Linked DNA regions of Arabidopsis thaliana. The protein of the gene in region 2 binds, or shares a complex with, the protein of the main gene of each other region. Each region holds a gene or a part of one and is shown on either strand. Other genes may lie near its edges.

What was found. Proteins that work in one complex are often made in the same cells at the same time.
Region 1: PBP1 (region 2) and BGLU21 share a complex: the UniProt entries of both Arabidopsis thaliana proteins name them as parts of the PYK10 complex.
Region 3: PBP1 (region 2) and BGLU22 share a complex: the UniProt entries of both Arabidopsis thaliana proteins name them as parts of the PYK10 complex.

The regions. Positions count from the first base shown.
Region 1 is NC_003070.9:24,699,314-24,704,836, forward strand, and holds BGLU21 (Glycosyl hydrolase superfamily protein), read right to left. Parts: upstream 3,854-5,523; 5' UTR 3,683-3,853; coding exon 3,518-3,682; intron 3,316-3,517; coding exon 3,246-3,315; intron 3,129-3,245; coding exon 3,073-3,128; intron 2,986-3,072; coding exon 2,910-2,985; intron 2,743-2,909; coding exon 2,665-2,742; intron 2,575-2,664; coding exon 2,487-2,574; intron 2,398-2,486; coding exon 2,145-2,397; intron 2,025-2,144; coding exon 1,909-2,024; intron 1,831-1,908; coding exon 1,613-1,830; intron 1,506-1,612; coding exon 1,471-1,505; intron 1,387-1,470; coding exon 1,284-1,386; intron 1,193-1,283; coding exon 1,084-1,192; intron 1,005-1,083; coding exon 797-1,004; 3' UTR 555-796; downstream 1-554. UniProt on the Arabidopsis thaliana protein: Beta-D-glucosidase active on scopolin >> esculin >> 4-MU-glucoside > DIMBOA-glucoside. No activity with pNP-glucoside, oNP-glucoside and sinigrin as substrates.
Region 2 is NC_003074.8:5,577,447-5,581,564, reverse strand, and holds PBP1 (PYK10-binding protein 1), read right to left. Parts: upstream 2,276-4,118; 5' UTR 2,112-2,275; intron 2,091-2,111; exon of another isoform or gene 2,036-2,090; 5' UTR 2,006-2,035; coding exon 1,805-2,005; intron 1,708-1,804; coding exon 1,264-1,707; intron 1,143-1,263; coding exon 891-1,142; 3' UTR 533-890; downstream 1-532. UniProt on the Arabidopsis thaliana protein: Inhibitor-type lectin that may regulate the correct polymerization of BGLU23/PYK10 upon tissue damage. Activates BGLU21, BGLU22 and BGLU23.
Region 3 is NC_003070.9:24,705,958-24,711,638, reverse strand, and holds BGLU22 (Glycosyl hydrolase superfamily protein), read left to right. Parts: upstream 1-1,642; 5' UTR 1,643-1,901; coding exon 1,902-2,066; intron 2,067-2,224; coding exon 2,225-2,294; intron 2,295-2,371; coding exon 2,372-2,427; intron 2,428-2,756; coding exon 2,757-2,832; intron 2,833-2,955; coding exon 2,956-3,033; intron 3,034-3,122; coding exon 3,123-3,210; intron 3,211-3,298; coding exon 3,299-3,551; intron 3,552-3,644; coding exon 3,645-3,760; intron 3,761-3,837; coding exon 3,838-4,055; intron 4,056-4,159; coding exon 4,160-4,194; intron 4,195-4,301; coding exon 4,302-4,404; intron 4,405-4,487; coding exon 4,488-4,596; intron 4,597-4,672; coding exon 4,673-4,880; 3' UTR 4,881-5,127; downstream 5,128-5,681. UniProt on the Arabidopsis thaliana protein: Beta-D-glucosidase active on scopolin >> esculin >> 4-MU-glucoside. No activity with DIMBOA-glucoside, pNP-glucoside, oNP-glucoside and sinigrin as substrates.

The DNA.
Region 1 (5,523 bases), on a different chromosome or scaffold from region 2:
TGCTTTTAAAAAAAAAATCTTGAAAATCACTATTTACATAAATCGTTTTTGATAAGTGACTACTAGTAAGATAGAATGTGATGATTTCATTATTAACACATACGTTTGATTGTTTTTTTTTGTTTTTTTTTGCTTGCTAAGAATGAAATATGAATTTCCAAAGTAATGAATGATGTTGGTATTGCATGGTGGATTTATTTGGTTGCATCATGCATGGATTTTATTTCCTTAAGGTATATAGAAAATACGCTTGGCCAAATGAGTGAAAAAGAGATATCTTCTCTTGCTGGTCGTCCTGTTTTTTAATCTAAACTAGTGACTTTCAAAAATAAAATATTAGAACTGTTTGGGAAAATGAATTGCCATTGTTTATTTCATCGCCAACGTTTAAGTTGTTAGTTTTTGAAATGTTTGTACTTAGTTGTTAAGACGACGTCAAATTATTTCCTAATCTATTTCTATGTATAGAGGTAAATTCGTATTTTTAATTTTCTAAAACTAATGATATTTTCTTACATCATTTTGTAACTCATAAATTTTTTAATGTTAAGGTTGTATGATTCAATTTTTCTTCAAGTTTGGAAGGTAAAACATATTTAACTTCACATATTGATTCTCAAAAAGGATAACGTCATTAAAACTAAAGCCTTCTTGATCTTGTCGAATAAGCTAGAGATTGAAGGAAAACGAAACACTTTTATTATTATTAACCACGACTCATGAATCGTGCGTGGTCAATCACAAACTAAAACATAGGAAAAACATCGAATAGAAAACGAAATCCTCAAAATATAACTTAAAGCTCATCCCTCTTGAGTGCGGATGGACGAACACCTTGAGCGAGGAAATCTTTGTAATACTTGGCTGATTCTTTCTCATAACGTGTGAGGTTATTTTTGAAATCGACGTAATAGAGTCCGAATCTGTTTTTGTAACCATCTTGCCATTCGAAGTTATCCAACAATGACCATACAAAGTATCCCGTAACTCTCACCTTATCGATGCTGCACAAACACAATTATGTTCTTAATTAGACCATTCAATAGAATCGTTAGTCAATCTATCAAATAATAAAAGGCTTACCAAATAGCCTCGTTCATAGCCAGAAGATGCCTCTGAAGATAATATTTCCTGTTATGATCAGCAGTACCAACGTCAACCGAATCTGTGGTCCCAAGTTTATCTCCATATCCTAGAAAAAACAACATTATAATGATCAGTATATTACTCTTAAGAGTTAAGATTAAATCAACACACAAATATAACAATAAATCTCGAGTTACCATTTTCCATTATCATAATCTCCGGGTTTGCGTATTTGTCCTTGATGTACTTTAAAAGCTTTCTAAATCCTTTAGCGTAGACGGGCAATGCAGCAGTAAGAGGCTGAAATAAAGCAATGGTGAAAATGTTATGTCGTAGACAAAAATTAACAATCACAAACTAGGACTAGTTTAATCAAACGCTTACCATGCTACCAATGGCGCTGTGATCTACATTCTTAGCTGAAAAATAAAAAGTGAAAATGTATGCATATCAATTAGTATTATAAAACCTTTTATCTTTAGTTTCTTGGTTTGGTTTCATGTACGGAAAACAAAAAAAAACTTACGTTCCCAGGAAACAAGAGAATCTTGCTTCCAACTTGGTTTAGACGGATCTGGCTTCTCATTATAATTTGAAAATGTCGAAGTATAGTAGTTAAGCCCTACGAAATCGGTCGAATCTTTCAATTTTGCTTTTTGTGCAGCAGTAAATTGAGGCAATCTGTAACCAAGAAGGTCTTTCATGATTTGTGGATAATCTCCCGAAGTAGTTGGCTCCAGATGCCTACACAAAATTAATAACTACATTAATTTTTATGAAATTATATACGAGAAACCATTTTCTAACATAATATATACTTACCATCCCAACATAAAGTCAAGTACACGGCTAACAGTTGGAGCGTCATTTGAATCTTTAAGATCATGTGGTTCGAACCAAGCCGGACTATGTGCGATTCCGATTTTCCCACCTTTAACCTATGTCCATAAACACAACACAAAACAACCTATTTTAAGATTCGAAACCTGATAATTAATTGTGATTTATATCTAATGTGACCTGATAATTAATTATGATTTATATCTAATGTAAACTACCTTTTGGCGGAAAACTTCAACAGCTTCTGCGTGAGCGTTGAGGAGATTGTGACTGACTAGATAAGCCTCTTTACCAGATTGTCCCTCTCGGTCTTCGCAACCTGGAACGTAGCGAGAACAACGTCCTGGTGCTTTCTTTCCTAAGTCGTAACCTGCGTGAGCAAAGACCCATGGCTCGTTGAAAGTGATCCAGTTTTTCACTTTTCCACCGTATTCAGTGAAAACATAATCTGCATATTCTCGAAAATCTTTCCTGTATTTTTGCAAAAAAAAAAGATACCAAATTAATAATTTCCATATAAACTTAACTAAATGTATTTTGTTTAATTTACAAAAACATACACAATGTTTTGGCTTAAGAAACCGCCATATTCGTCTTCCAAATCTTGTGGAGTGTCCCAATGGAAAACAGTCACAAACGGAACTATACCTATTTATGACGTAAAATAGAAAGAAATGTTAAATAAGGATACTATATTACTTGTATTTTTGTGAACTAGGTATTTTATATGTATATAACCATTTTTAAGGAGTTCATCGATGAGCTCGTGGTAGAATTGCACACCAGCTTGACTCACTCCCTTCTCCTTTCTCCCATCTAATAAAGCATTACAGTTTGTTTCATTAGTTATTGATACTTCAACATTCACATATACATCATCTAAATTCATTGGTTATTAGTATTATATAACAATCACATAAATCTAATTTCACCAAATTCGATTAAAACAAAATCAAACTAGAGATCTGCAGACATATACTCACGAGGAAATATTCTTGACCATGCGATTGAGAGTCTGAATGCATCTGTGTTTAGATTCTTCATTAGCTGAATATCTTCCTACAAACATTTTTAAGACAAGGCAAAATTTCAATAACATCTCGAGAATATAAGTTATGTTTGTCTTAAATTTATATTAATATATACCTTATAACGATGGAAGAAATCAACGGCCACATCGGCGTGGTCGCCACTACATCTCTCTGTAATTTGAAAGTAATTAAGAAAATTAATGGCTATGTATTGATATTAATTAGTTAAATTTAATTTAATATTTAAACATACTGTATTGAGAATGTAGATTATACGAGTACACTCACCTGGATTTCTTCTACAGTAGATATCCCATAGAGCCGGTCCACGACAAGTTTCATTAATTGCACCTTCGACCTAATGACATAACAAAAAATAGTTGATGAGTTGAGGAATATCACATGCACAAATGATTTCAAATGATAGGTATAACATATTTTGAGCAACTTTTACATAAAAAAAAACCATATTTTAAAAATATGGATTTGAATTCAGATAGAAACACAATAACGACACTACTTTTTGTTTTTTGAACTATGATTTAGTAAATCTGTTGTACCTGAAACGCAGCAGTAGCCGTGCCAAACAAAAACCCATTAGGGAAACTTGCTCGGCTTAGCTTGGAAGTCGCCGGGCAAACAGGATCATCAACCGCTGTTGTCACAGAGACGAGGATGGTTAGGAGCAAAAGCAGCCCCATGAGAGGAAACTTTTGCAATGCCATTTTTGTTTTTAGTTTCTTCTGGAAGAGAACAAGTTTATGATGATTTGTTTACATCCAATCGGAGTTCTTTATATAGCGATTTTGATTGTTTGTTAACGAGTGACTAAAATATAATTGTTTAGTAAAACTATTTTATATATAGGATGATTCATTGCATGACCTCGACCGTTGTGTTCTTACTTAGTTTGGAACATATTATATTGTGCGTGGAACTAATATAAGTTCTTCATCCATTTTGGATTTAATTATTTGATTAGTCCATTTTGGATATCATAATCTCCCAATATGATTATTTGTGTTTCATAATAAACCTTTTTCGGAATAACTCTTATGTACTTTGTCTATGGTTTCGATAATTAACTATGTTCATATATATATAAATATATAATATTGGTGTTTTATATAATTTAATAATTGTATATTATTTATTTGGTAATTTTTGGTTTAAACCACTGTCGCATCTACTGCTAAGCCAATCATAAAATTGCCGTAAATACACATATTTTTAACTGTAAACCAGTCATTTAAAATGTCCGATAACGTTTAAAACCTCAACCAATTACTTCCATTAACTTCCACAATGACAACCACACCCCGTTGCATTTAAACCAACGAAAACCCTAAATAATAACAAGCCTATTTTTGATACTCAAATAATTGGAGACTTTATTATTTTTCAAAACTTAATTGTAAAAACATATTTTTTAACTTGTTTAACGAACATTACTCTTAATCTTTCATAAATCAGTTTCTAATTCGAAAAAAAGTTATACCTTATTCTGAAAAAATTCAGGTAGCAAGTAAAGGATCTCTCATTTAATGTTTGGACTAATGAATGACTAAACTATATGAGTATGTATTTAGTAAGACTATTTTTATAGTATATAGGATGCTTCATGGCACGATCTCGATCATTGTATTATATATAGTTTAGTAAATCTATTTAATAAATAGGATGATTCATTGCATTATCTCGATCATTGACTAATTCTTACTTATTTTTCCTAGTTTGGAACATATTATATTGGGCGTGGAACATATAATATAAAAACGTGACTTAAAAATATATCATGTATGTCCAAAAAAAAAGTTTACAGCATGAGGAGTCCTCGAACCAATCGGCCGGCCCTAAGTCAATGGATCATTTAGTGCCTCGTATAGATCTAGATCGAGTTTTGGATCTTATTTTGTTATGGACGTTAAGTTATTAATGTGTTAGTGACTAAAATATAAATATATAATACAACTGTTTAATAGGATGACTCATTCCATGATCTATATGGTTTACATTACTTTTTTGTTTTCCAATATATAGTCCTCGTGTCTAAAACTCTAAACTAAATTATATCCTCTTTATATTTTATAATTGACACATTTTGCGCGAATAAAAAGACAAATCATTAACTATACAAATATACCATTACTTTATTAGATGATATTTCCTCTATTTCAAATTATATGATGTTTTAGATTAAAACACACACTTTAAGAAATTTATTTTTAATTATAAAATTTGTTCTCTTGATATTAAAAATACAAAATACAAACCAATAGTCAAATAATCAAATAAAATATATTTAAAAATTGCATTGATATTAGTAAAACATCCTAAATAAATCTCTGAAATATCCTATATAATGAATCAGAGTGAGTGTTAAATTTAAAACAAAAATATGAATAAATTAAAGAATAAACGTGGAAGTTTATTTGAAAAGTAAAATTGGAAATTTAAAATAACATGTTTTTTTTTGAAACAAAATAAAAATTCCACAAGAACACTAGTGGTTGTTATACAGAAGGACTATTATTAAATATTTTAAATTGGATGATTTCATTGCACG
Region 2 (4,118 bases):
ACATTACCGGAAGAAATACATGTTCAAATATTCATATACTCCTTTTTTACTTCCACAGCTTCTCAACTAATCGTCTTTATATTGGTGTTGGCCAATGAAACGATGGCAGCAAGCTAATTAGTTCTTTTAAAATTCACAGAGTCGTCAATTTTATTATATACGTTATTACTTGTAAAGGGTGCAAGTTGCAATTTATATAAGTCAGAATTCTACAATTAGTGACCCCCTTTTTAGGACTCTAATTGGTTGACGATTTGATAAGTCTTGTAAGAACATGTTTCCACAGCATTGTACATTATTTCAAACAGTAAAAGTATAATTGAAATCACCTAAGAGAAATTAGAACCAAGAGTATATATATAATACAATTTTCTGTAACGCTCAATCTAGAAACAAGAACCGGTTCGTATTTTTTGGCCAACTCATATACTTTTAACTAATAACTTTTTATGTTTGGAGAAGGCCAAAAACTTCAATATGGTCACACATTCTAGATAAAAACTTTGTGCAGGATTTTTTTACTGAGAAAATACGAACAACTATATATTTGATCCAAAAAAGTTAACATTTGCATTTTAAATTGTACAATTCATACGTTGAGATTTTAGTTTGAATTATAGCAAGTAAAATTAGTATCAGAACCAAATAATGGCAAAAGTAAGTATTATAGAACATATAGGGAAACTAAAGATCAGATTGGAACAAACTTCCTTTATTAAAATAGAGCACAAGAAGAACAAAGAAAAAACAACATCGCAAGAGACAACGCGTAAAACACTTATCAAAGATCACCATTCACCAGAGGCATGAAGAGACCTCATATGAGAAATTTAGAAGATAGATTTGATAACTTATTAGATGCATGGAATCAAGGATAAAGAGCTCCATCATCAGTTGGATAAAGGACGAACATGGACTCCAATTTTGTGGAGCAGAACATCGGCTCTTCCATGGAAACCAACGATCTTGTGGCCTTCCTCTTTGAGTTCGAAGACTGTGCCAGCTTCAAGTCCAAAGGGAGGAGACGTTTGCTTATTAGTCTTGAACCTGAGCATAGTTATGACTGAGCCATCACTCCCAAAGATTTTATCATAAGTGCCATCGACTGCGGTGATGTATTCACTTGGATAGTCAAGTACGAACTGCAGTTATTGGAAACCAAATAAAACAATTGAATACATTATGATGGAAACCGGAAGAGAATTTGAATTCTCTGATGTATAATTTTTACATTCAACAAAAAGAGCAAAGAAAGTATTATACCTCTTCGAATCCGAGTAGAGTACTCTTTCCATGTTCTTCTCCTGTGACCTCCTCAGGGCTTTTGTCGTACACAAACTTAACAGCTGAGATTCCATCTTGGGCTTGTCCAACGTACACCTTCTTAACCCCAACGTAAGCACCATCATCCCATACAGTTCCGTCATCACTACCAAATGCCGTTAGCTGCTTGGCAGGAGTCAACGGAGTTGTAGTAGTCAACGGAGCAAAGTAAGCCCCAAGAGAATTAAGATTGCCCCCGGCAGACCCATGAAAGCCAATGATCTTCTTGTCTTTAACTTGTAGAGTGAAGTGAGTACCCTCATCGGATCCAATGACATCAGAAGTCTTCTTGTTGGAGATGAACTTAATTCCTTGAATGATACCTTCAGGGCTATACCAACCTTCTACAGAAACTAGATGTTCGTCTGGATGGTTAATCACAAACTGTAGAAATAGATCAAGATGAAAATGTCAAAACTTCAAAATATAACAGTATACATATAGAAAGAAGAAGATTAATGGGCAAGGAAAATATAGGAACCGGATCAGCTGGGAGAACACGGCCTTTGGTACCACGAAGAGGAGCTTGTTCGGGTTGTCCGTTCTTGACATAATCAAACTGAACATATTGAATTCCGTCTATGCCTGCTGCGAGCTGAATCTTGGTCACGGCGTCATGTGTCGATCCATCGTCCCATAGGTTGGCTCCTTTCCCTCCTTGTGCTTCCACCTTTTGGGCCATCTTCTGCTTCTTGATAGTACTTACGAATTTCTGTAGTTGCAAAAATAAATTGTTAATATCTACTATTAACCAATTTTTACATAATAGAGAAGAATAGAGATAAGACCTTTTAAAGAGAGTAGATTGTTATCGGTGCTATGATCAATTAAAGTGAATTGTATGTTTATTTATATTGACTTCTTGATATTGATCGTACTAGATGAAATAATAAGGGAAATAATAATTTATTCTTTCGTGATCCACGAGGCATATTTATATAAAAAGCATTACTGGGAAAAACGCATGTTCATATACATTTTTTTTTTTAGATAATGAAAATATTCATATACTTCTACTTGCACAACTTCTCAACTAATCGTCTTTATATTGGCGTTGGCCCATTAAACGATGGCAGCAAGCTAATTCATTGTTTTAAAATTTAAAGAATCGTTTATCAATTAGATTATGTACGATTAATTATTTGTAAAGGGCTAAAGTTGCAAGTTGCAACATATATATACGTTCTCCTTATTAAGAGTCTAATTGGTTAAGATTTGGTAATTATTGTATGAACATGTTTTAAAGCCTTAATCATAATTTAAAAACAGTAACGTTTAATTCAAATCACCGAAGATTAATTAGAAGTTTAGAACCAAAGAGGAGACTAGATATATCATACAATATTCCGTAAAAAAAATCTAGATACAAGAACCGGATCATATGGATCTAGCCATAAAGAATACTCCAAAATATCACAACTAGTTTTAATAACTCTTAGGGAAATTTACGAATTCCTCTGAATTCAAAACTGCTTTTTTTTTTTTTATAACTGATTTATGAAATATTATAAAATTTTGCGAAGAATATTTCTAAAACAAATTCTGTATTCGTTGGTAAAAAGATTTATAATTGTATCATTTACACTGGTACTAAATATTAATCTAATTGAGAGACGCTTAATATGATTCATAAATTATCAAAAAAGCTTTCTAGCTCGACTGCAAATGTACCATGGGATATTCCAAGAAGTCGCACGATCGAATGAAAGCTGGTACGTATAAATTATTAAAAGTTGATCTAGATCATCAATCAAGAAAACATCCTATTTAACAAAAACAAAGGTTAACATGTAGTATGTATTTATTTATATAATTATCTGTTGCGAATGTGAAACAATCGATAGAAATTACACTAGCTAAGTAATTAATAATAACTATTTGATCATCTATAACTATATTATTCAATACTTATATGATCAAAATATGTAAGCTAGTGGTTTTTGGTATTTCTTGTTGATGTGTTACCTTTCTAGTTGAAACCTGCATATTTACTTATTATTAAAAAATAAATTCAGTAATAATATACCTACGTCTTGGCATTATCTATTTAAAATGAAGTGGGTACAAACTTATAATTAATATAAATAAAAAAGAGATTTTAATATTGCAATCATGTTCCCATCACTTCATCAGTCATCATAAATAGCACCCCAATAATTTAACTTAGAGTAAACAATAGTTATTGAGATATGAAAATCATTCCAAGATAGCAACAGCCAGCCAACAGTGGACTTTTGAAAAATTAAAACAAATACGTAAACAAAATTAAACTCAACCATAATCATGAATATTTTGATGAAGATATACCTTTCCAGTCTTCGATCTACGTTCGTGCGTATTGAGCTTATCGTTCTTCTCGTTCTCGATCGTCTTCGCACACAAGGCCAAGAATATATATATATTTTTTTTAATGGGAAAAAAATACCAAATTTACGTTTTGTTTTGCATGTGAAGGTACTTTAGTTTGACTCTTTTTGTCGAGTTATTGCTTCCATTCGTTAAAATATTTTTTTCAAAATACTACAAAATGGAAAATTTATGACAAGCAAATATATAAATTCTTGCCAAAAAAGTTTTTTTCTTTGTTTTTAAAATGATTGACAACATTTTATCTTTTGACAAAAAAAAAGACAAAATTTTATCTAATAAAGGTTACAAATTAAACAGCTTTTATTTACGAATTAAGGTTACAAATTAAACACTTAGAGAGTGGGCTCGGTTAGCCTACCTTAACCTTCCTCATTGCCCGCATAGGTTCTACTCCACCAGACCAATTAAGTCCCACCAGATTCACA
Region 3 (5,681 bases), on a different chromosome or scaffold from region 2:
CGAATTTATTTTATTTTTTAGTATTTAATAGTTTTATATTTAATTGGAAGTTTCCATTTCCTTGACTACGCCATAAAGATACACAAAGACTCTTAACTGATCCAGATCATTGAAGTAACCAAGGGTAAGTAATTGAACTGGCCATAGTTAGTAAAAGATTGTACCAACCGTTTCTTCATTCTTAGGAGAGCAAAAAAAACTAGTCGCAGTGTATTCTTCTTCTATGACGACTAGACGAGAGTAGTGAGTCGCAATGTGCTTTGGTAGGGCATCAGCTAAGAGGAATACACATATTTTTAAGTTGCTTTCTTCCAAGGTACAATATTTGACATATATATGGACTTGTAAACTTACCAGATTTTCTGATCATGTAAATAGTAGCTTTCAATGTCCTCGATCACAAAGGCCATGAAGTGTAGCATTTTGAGAAATGGTCATTCCAAATCTAAATGGACTTTCTCATTGAGTTGTTTGAAAGAAAAATAATCAATTACACCACCAATTGATCGACCAAGAAAAATGTTTGGTGAATAATAGTTACCCCAATTTGTGTTTTTTTGGGCAAAAAAGTTGCCCCACATTTATATTTTAATTTTGATGCCTAAATTTCGTTGATCTTAATTAGGCTTTACCGCACTGTCCTGACAGCAGTCAGCATGCGACTAGAATGTGACCAATTGTTTGTCCGAAACCGAAGATTACTCATTCCAAACTCCCAGTCTAATTGGAGGTTGTGTCTTGATATCTAATAACTTGTTTGATAACCATTATAAGGTCTTTTGCTTAGGTTTTACGGTCCATAAGTTACCAATGTATCCTATGATCAGGACGACTACTACAGGTTCAAGATTTTGAAGATATAGGTCATACACTAGATTTTCTTATTTATAATTGTATAGTTTAGCTTAGTCACCCGGGATCTCTCATCGAATGAATCATCCTATTTAAATAATAGTCAAGCGGAAACCAATAATGAAAGATTATATTAAGTTATGAAAACGTCAATAATAATCATGATTAAGATAAGATCGAAAACACCATTTGGATGATTAGATCTATCTATATAGTAAAATAAAATAAACATTATCAACGAGGCCTGGTTGTGGCATATTAAAAACAAGACATTAATGAGAGATCAGTATCGCTATAAAAAACGACACTAACATATAAATGAACCATCCTAAAATTGTTTTCTTAATCAAGACAAAAGAAAAAAAAGAAAACTAAAAACCAAAATGTCATTGCAAAAGTTTCTCATGGGGACACGTTGCTCCTAACCACCATCGTATACAATAGTTAAATAATTGTATACTATCTTAGTGGGATAAGTAAATGAAAGTTTATTCAATAAATATTAATATCTTAAACGTCAATAATACCTAAAGTAAGATCCAAAAACTCGATCTGGATCATTACTATAGAAAATTAAAGAAAATGATTAACGAGGCCTTGTTGGCATATCTTTTTCTTTTCTTGTAAAACAGATCTGGTTGCATATTTGAAAGTAGACATTAAATGAGAGATCCGTTGATTATGGAAGATTAAATGTTAATATTGTTGCTCGTTAAACACGAGAAATATTATTAAGACGAAGGTGCAACAATAGATGAAGACTTCAGTTATAGGACATACACGATTTTTTTTTTTTTTTGATAGGATACACTATTTATTTAAAGGCACGTTTTTATTATATGTTCCACGCGTAATATAATATGTTCCAAACTTTGAAAAATAAGTAAGAACACACCTATATATAAAATAAATTTATTAAACAAATATAGTTTAGTGACTTATTTGTCATTACCAAACAATCAAAATCACTATATAATTAAGAACTCTGTTTAGATGTAAACAAATCATCACAAACTTGTTCTCTTCCAAAAGACCAAAAATTAGAAACCATGGCATTGCAAAAGTTCCCTCTCCTGGGGCTTCTTTTTCTCATAACCATTGTCGTCTCTTCGACAATAGCCGTCGATGATCCTGTGTGCCCAACGACGTCCAAACTAAGCCGAGCAAGTTTCCCTAATGGGTTTGTGTTTGGCACAGCTACTGCTGCGTTTCAGGTAAACTGTGAGACATCAAAATGAATTATTTACTACACTATACTTCAAAAATATGTATTAGTGTTGTGTCTCCATCAAAATTCAAGCCTAAGTCCAAATGCTGAATTCAAACATATGTTATTACCTCAACTCATCAGCTATTTTCGTTATGTCATTAGGTTGAAGGTGCAATTAATGAAACTTGTCGTGGACCTGCTCTATGGGATATCTTCTGTAAGAGAAATCCAGGTGAGTGTATAATCTATATTTTCTATACAATATCTTTAGATATCTAAATTCATTCACTTTTTATTTTTAAATTACAGAGAGATGTAGTGGCCACAACGCCGATGTGGCCGTTGATTTCTTCCATCGTTATAAGGTAAATATATATATGTATTTTGAATCTAAATTTAAAGTATATTCAAAAGAAAAAAAACATCTTTACAATAAAGTGCCTCTTGTTTGAAAAGAATTTTGAGAAAATTAACTCAGAGGATGCTTACAAAACTTTGAAATGGTTAGACCCTTGAGAGGAGCCACACTGTATATATAATATATTAATATAAAGTTGAGGTATATATTAATATAAATTTAAGGTATATATTAATATAATTTTAAGACAAATATAACTTATATTTTATACTTTTAGTTTGCTGATATTATACGAGATATTATTGAAAATTTGTCTCGTCTTAAAAATGTTTGTAGGAAGATATTCAACTAATGAAGAATCTAAACACAGACGCATTCAGACTCTCAATCGCATGGTCAAGAATATTTCCTCGTGAGTATATGTCTGCAGATCTCTAGTTTGATTTAGTAATCGAATTTGGTGAATTGATATATAAATCAATAACTAATGAATTTTACATTTATTGACTAATCAAACAAACTAACGGGTTTTTAGATGGGAGAAAGGAGAAGGGAGTGAGTCAAGCTGGTGTGAAATTCTACCACGACCTGATCGATGAGCTCCTTAAAAATGGTTATATACATATAAACTAATTAATTAAAAAAGACAAGAAATATAGTATCATTATTTAACATTTCTATCTATTTTTACATTGTAACTAGGTATAATTCCGTTTGTGACTGTTTTCCATTGGGACACTCCACAAGATTTAGAAGACGAATATGGCGGTTTCTTAAGCGAGAACATTGTGTATGTTTTTGTAAATTGAAACAAAATACATCTAATTAAATTTTATATGGAAATTATTAGTTTAATATCATTTTTTGCAAAAATACAGGAAAGATTTCCGAGAATATGCAGATTATGTTTTCACTGAATACGGTGGAAAAGTGAAAAACTGGATCACTTTCAACGAGCCATGGGTCTTCGCTCATGCAGGTTACGACGTAGGCAAGAAGGCGCCAGGACGTTGTTCTCGCTACCTTAAAGGTTGTGAAGACCGAGATGGACGATCAGGTTATGAGGCTTATCTAGTTAGTCACAACCTCCTCAACGCTCATGCAGAAGCTGTTGAAGTTTTCCGCCAAAAGGTAATTTACATTAGATATATATATCAAAATTAACTATCAGGTTTTGGATATGAATATAATTTGTTTTGTGTTGTGTTAATGGACATTTTGTAGGTTAAAGGTGGGAAAATTGGAATCGCACATAGTCCGGCTTGGTTCGAACCACATGATCTTAAAGATTCAAATGACGTTCCAACTGTTAGCCGTGTACTTGACTTTATGTTGGGATGGTAGGTATATACTTTGATAAAATGGGGTCTTGTATACAATTTCATATAATTGATGGAGTTTTGATTATTATTTGTAGGCATCTAGACCCAACTACTTTTGGAGATTATCCACAAATCATGAAAGACCTTCTTGGTCACAGATTGCCCAAATTCACTTCTTCACAAAAAGCAAAATTGAAAGATTCGACCGATTTCGTAGGGCTTAACTACTATACTTCAACATTTTCAAACCATAATGAAAAGCCAGATCCGTCTACACCAAGTTGGAAGCAAGATTCTCTTGTTGCTTGGGAACGTAAGTTTTTTTTTCCTTACATGAAACCAAACCAAGAAACTAAGAGAAAATGTTTTCTTTATAATACTAATTGATATGTATACATTTTCACTTTTAAATTTCAGCTAAGAATGTAGATCACAGCGCCATTGGTAGCCAGGTATGCGTTAAACTAAACTAGTCCTAGTTTGAGATTGTTTTAACAACTAAACAATTAAAATATTTCTCTCAACGACATAACATCTATCACCATTGTTTTATTTTCAGCCTCTTACCGCTGCATTGCCCGTCTACGCTAAAGGTTTTAGAAGTCTTTTAAAGTACATCAAAGATAAATACGCAAACCCGGAAATTATGATCATGGAAAATGGTAACTCGAGATTTATGGTTACTGTGTGTTGATTTAGTTTGGAGTTAAAATATATATTCATCTTAATGTTGTTGTTTTTCTAGGATATGGAGATAAACTTAAGGACAAAGATTCGGTTGAGGTTGGTACTGCTGATTATAACAGGAAATACTATCTTCAGAGGCATCTTCTAGCTATGAACGAAGCTATTTGGTAACCGTTTACTATTTATTTATTTAGAGAACAATTCTATGGAATGATCTAATCAAGAAAATTTGTGTATGTGCAGCATTGACAAAGTGAGAGTTACGGGATACTTTGTATGGTCATTATTAGATAACTTTGAATGGCAAGATGGTTATAATAACAGATTCGGACTCTATTACGTCGATTTCAAAAATAACCTCACACGTTATGAGAAAGAATCAGCCAAGTACTACAAAGATTTCCTCGGTCAAGGTGTTCGTCCATCCGCGCTCAAGAAGGATGAGCTTTAAGTTATATTTTGAGGATTTGGTTTTCTGTTCAATGCTTCTTTCCTATGTTTTAGTTTGTGATTGATCATGATTCATGAAGTCTTGGTTAATAATAATAAAAGTGTTTTGTATTCCTTCAGTTTCTAGCTTATTTGACATGATCAAGAATGCTTTAGTATAAATATATTATCCTTATATGAAGGTATCTTTACCTTCAAAACATGAAGAAATATTGTATTATATATATTAAAAAAAGTCTTAAATTTACAAAAGGACTGATGTTTTTAAATATGAAGTAAAAATATCATAGTTTTTAAAATATTGAAAATACGAATTTACCTCTATTTAAAGAAATAGATTATGCAATAACTAGACGTCGTCTTAACAACTAAATCGTGCAAATATTTTAATGACTAATAACTTCAACAACTTAAACCGCTTGGCGATGAAATAAAACAATGGAAATAGTTTAACATTTTTAGAAAATCACCATGATTTGAGATCGGATAAGATGTCACACCGTAGCTACAAGTTTGAGATTAATCTTTCCAAACAATTTAGATAAAATCAAGTTACATAATTTGATATCGGATAAGATAAGACAATGTACATAAAAATGAACACAACATAATATCAGCAAGATGGTTCTAATATAACAGATTGGGATTCTACTACGTCAATTTTAAAAATAATCTCAATGTTATGAGAAACAATCAGCCAGGTATTACAAAGATTTCTTTGGTCAAGGTTTTAAGGCCCTGTTCGTTTCTACATTTGATAGATCCATCCAACTGATCCATTCAACATGTCTATTTGGATGAT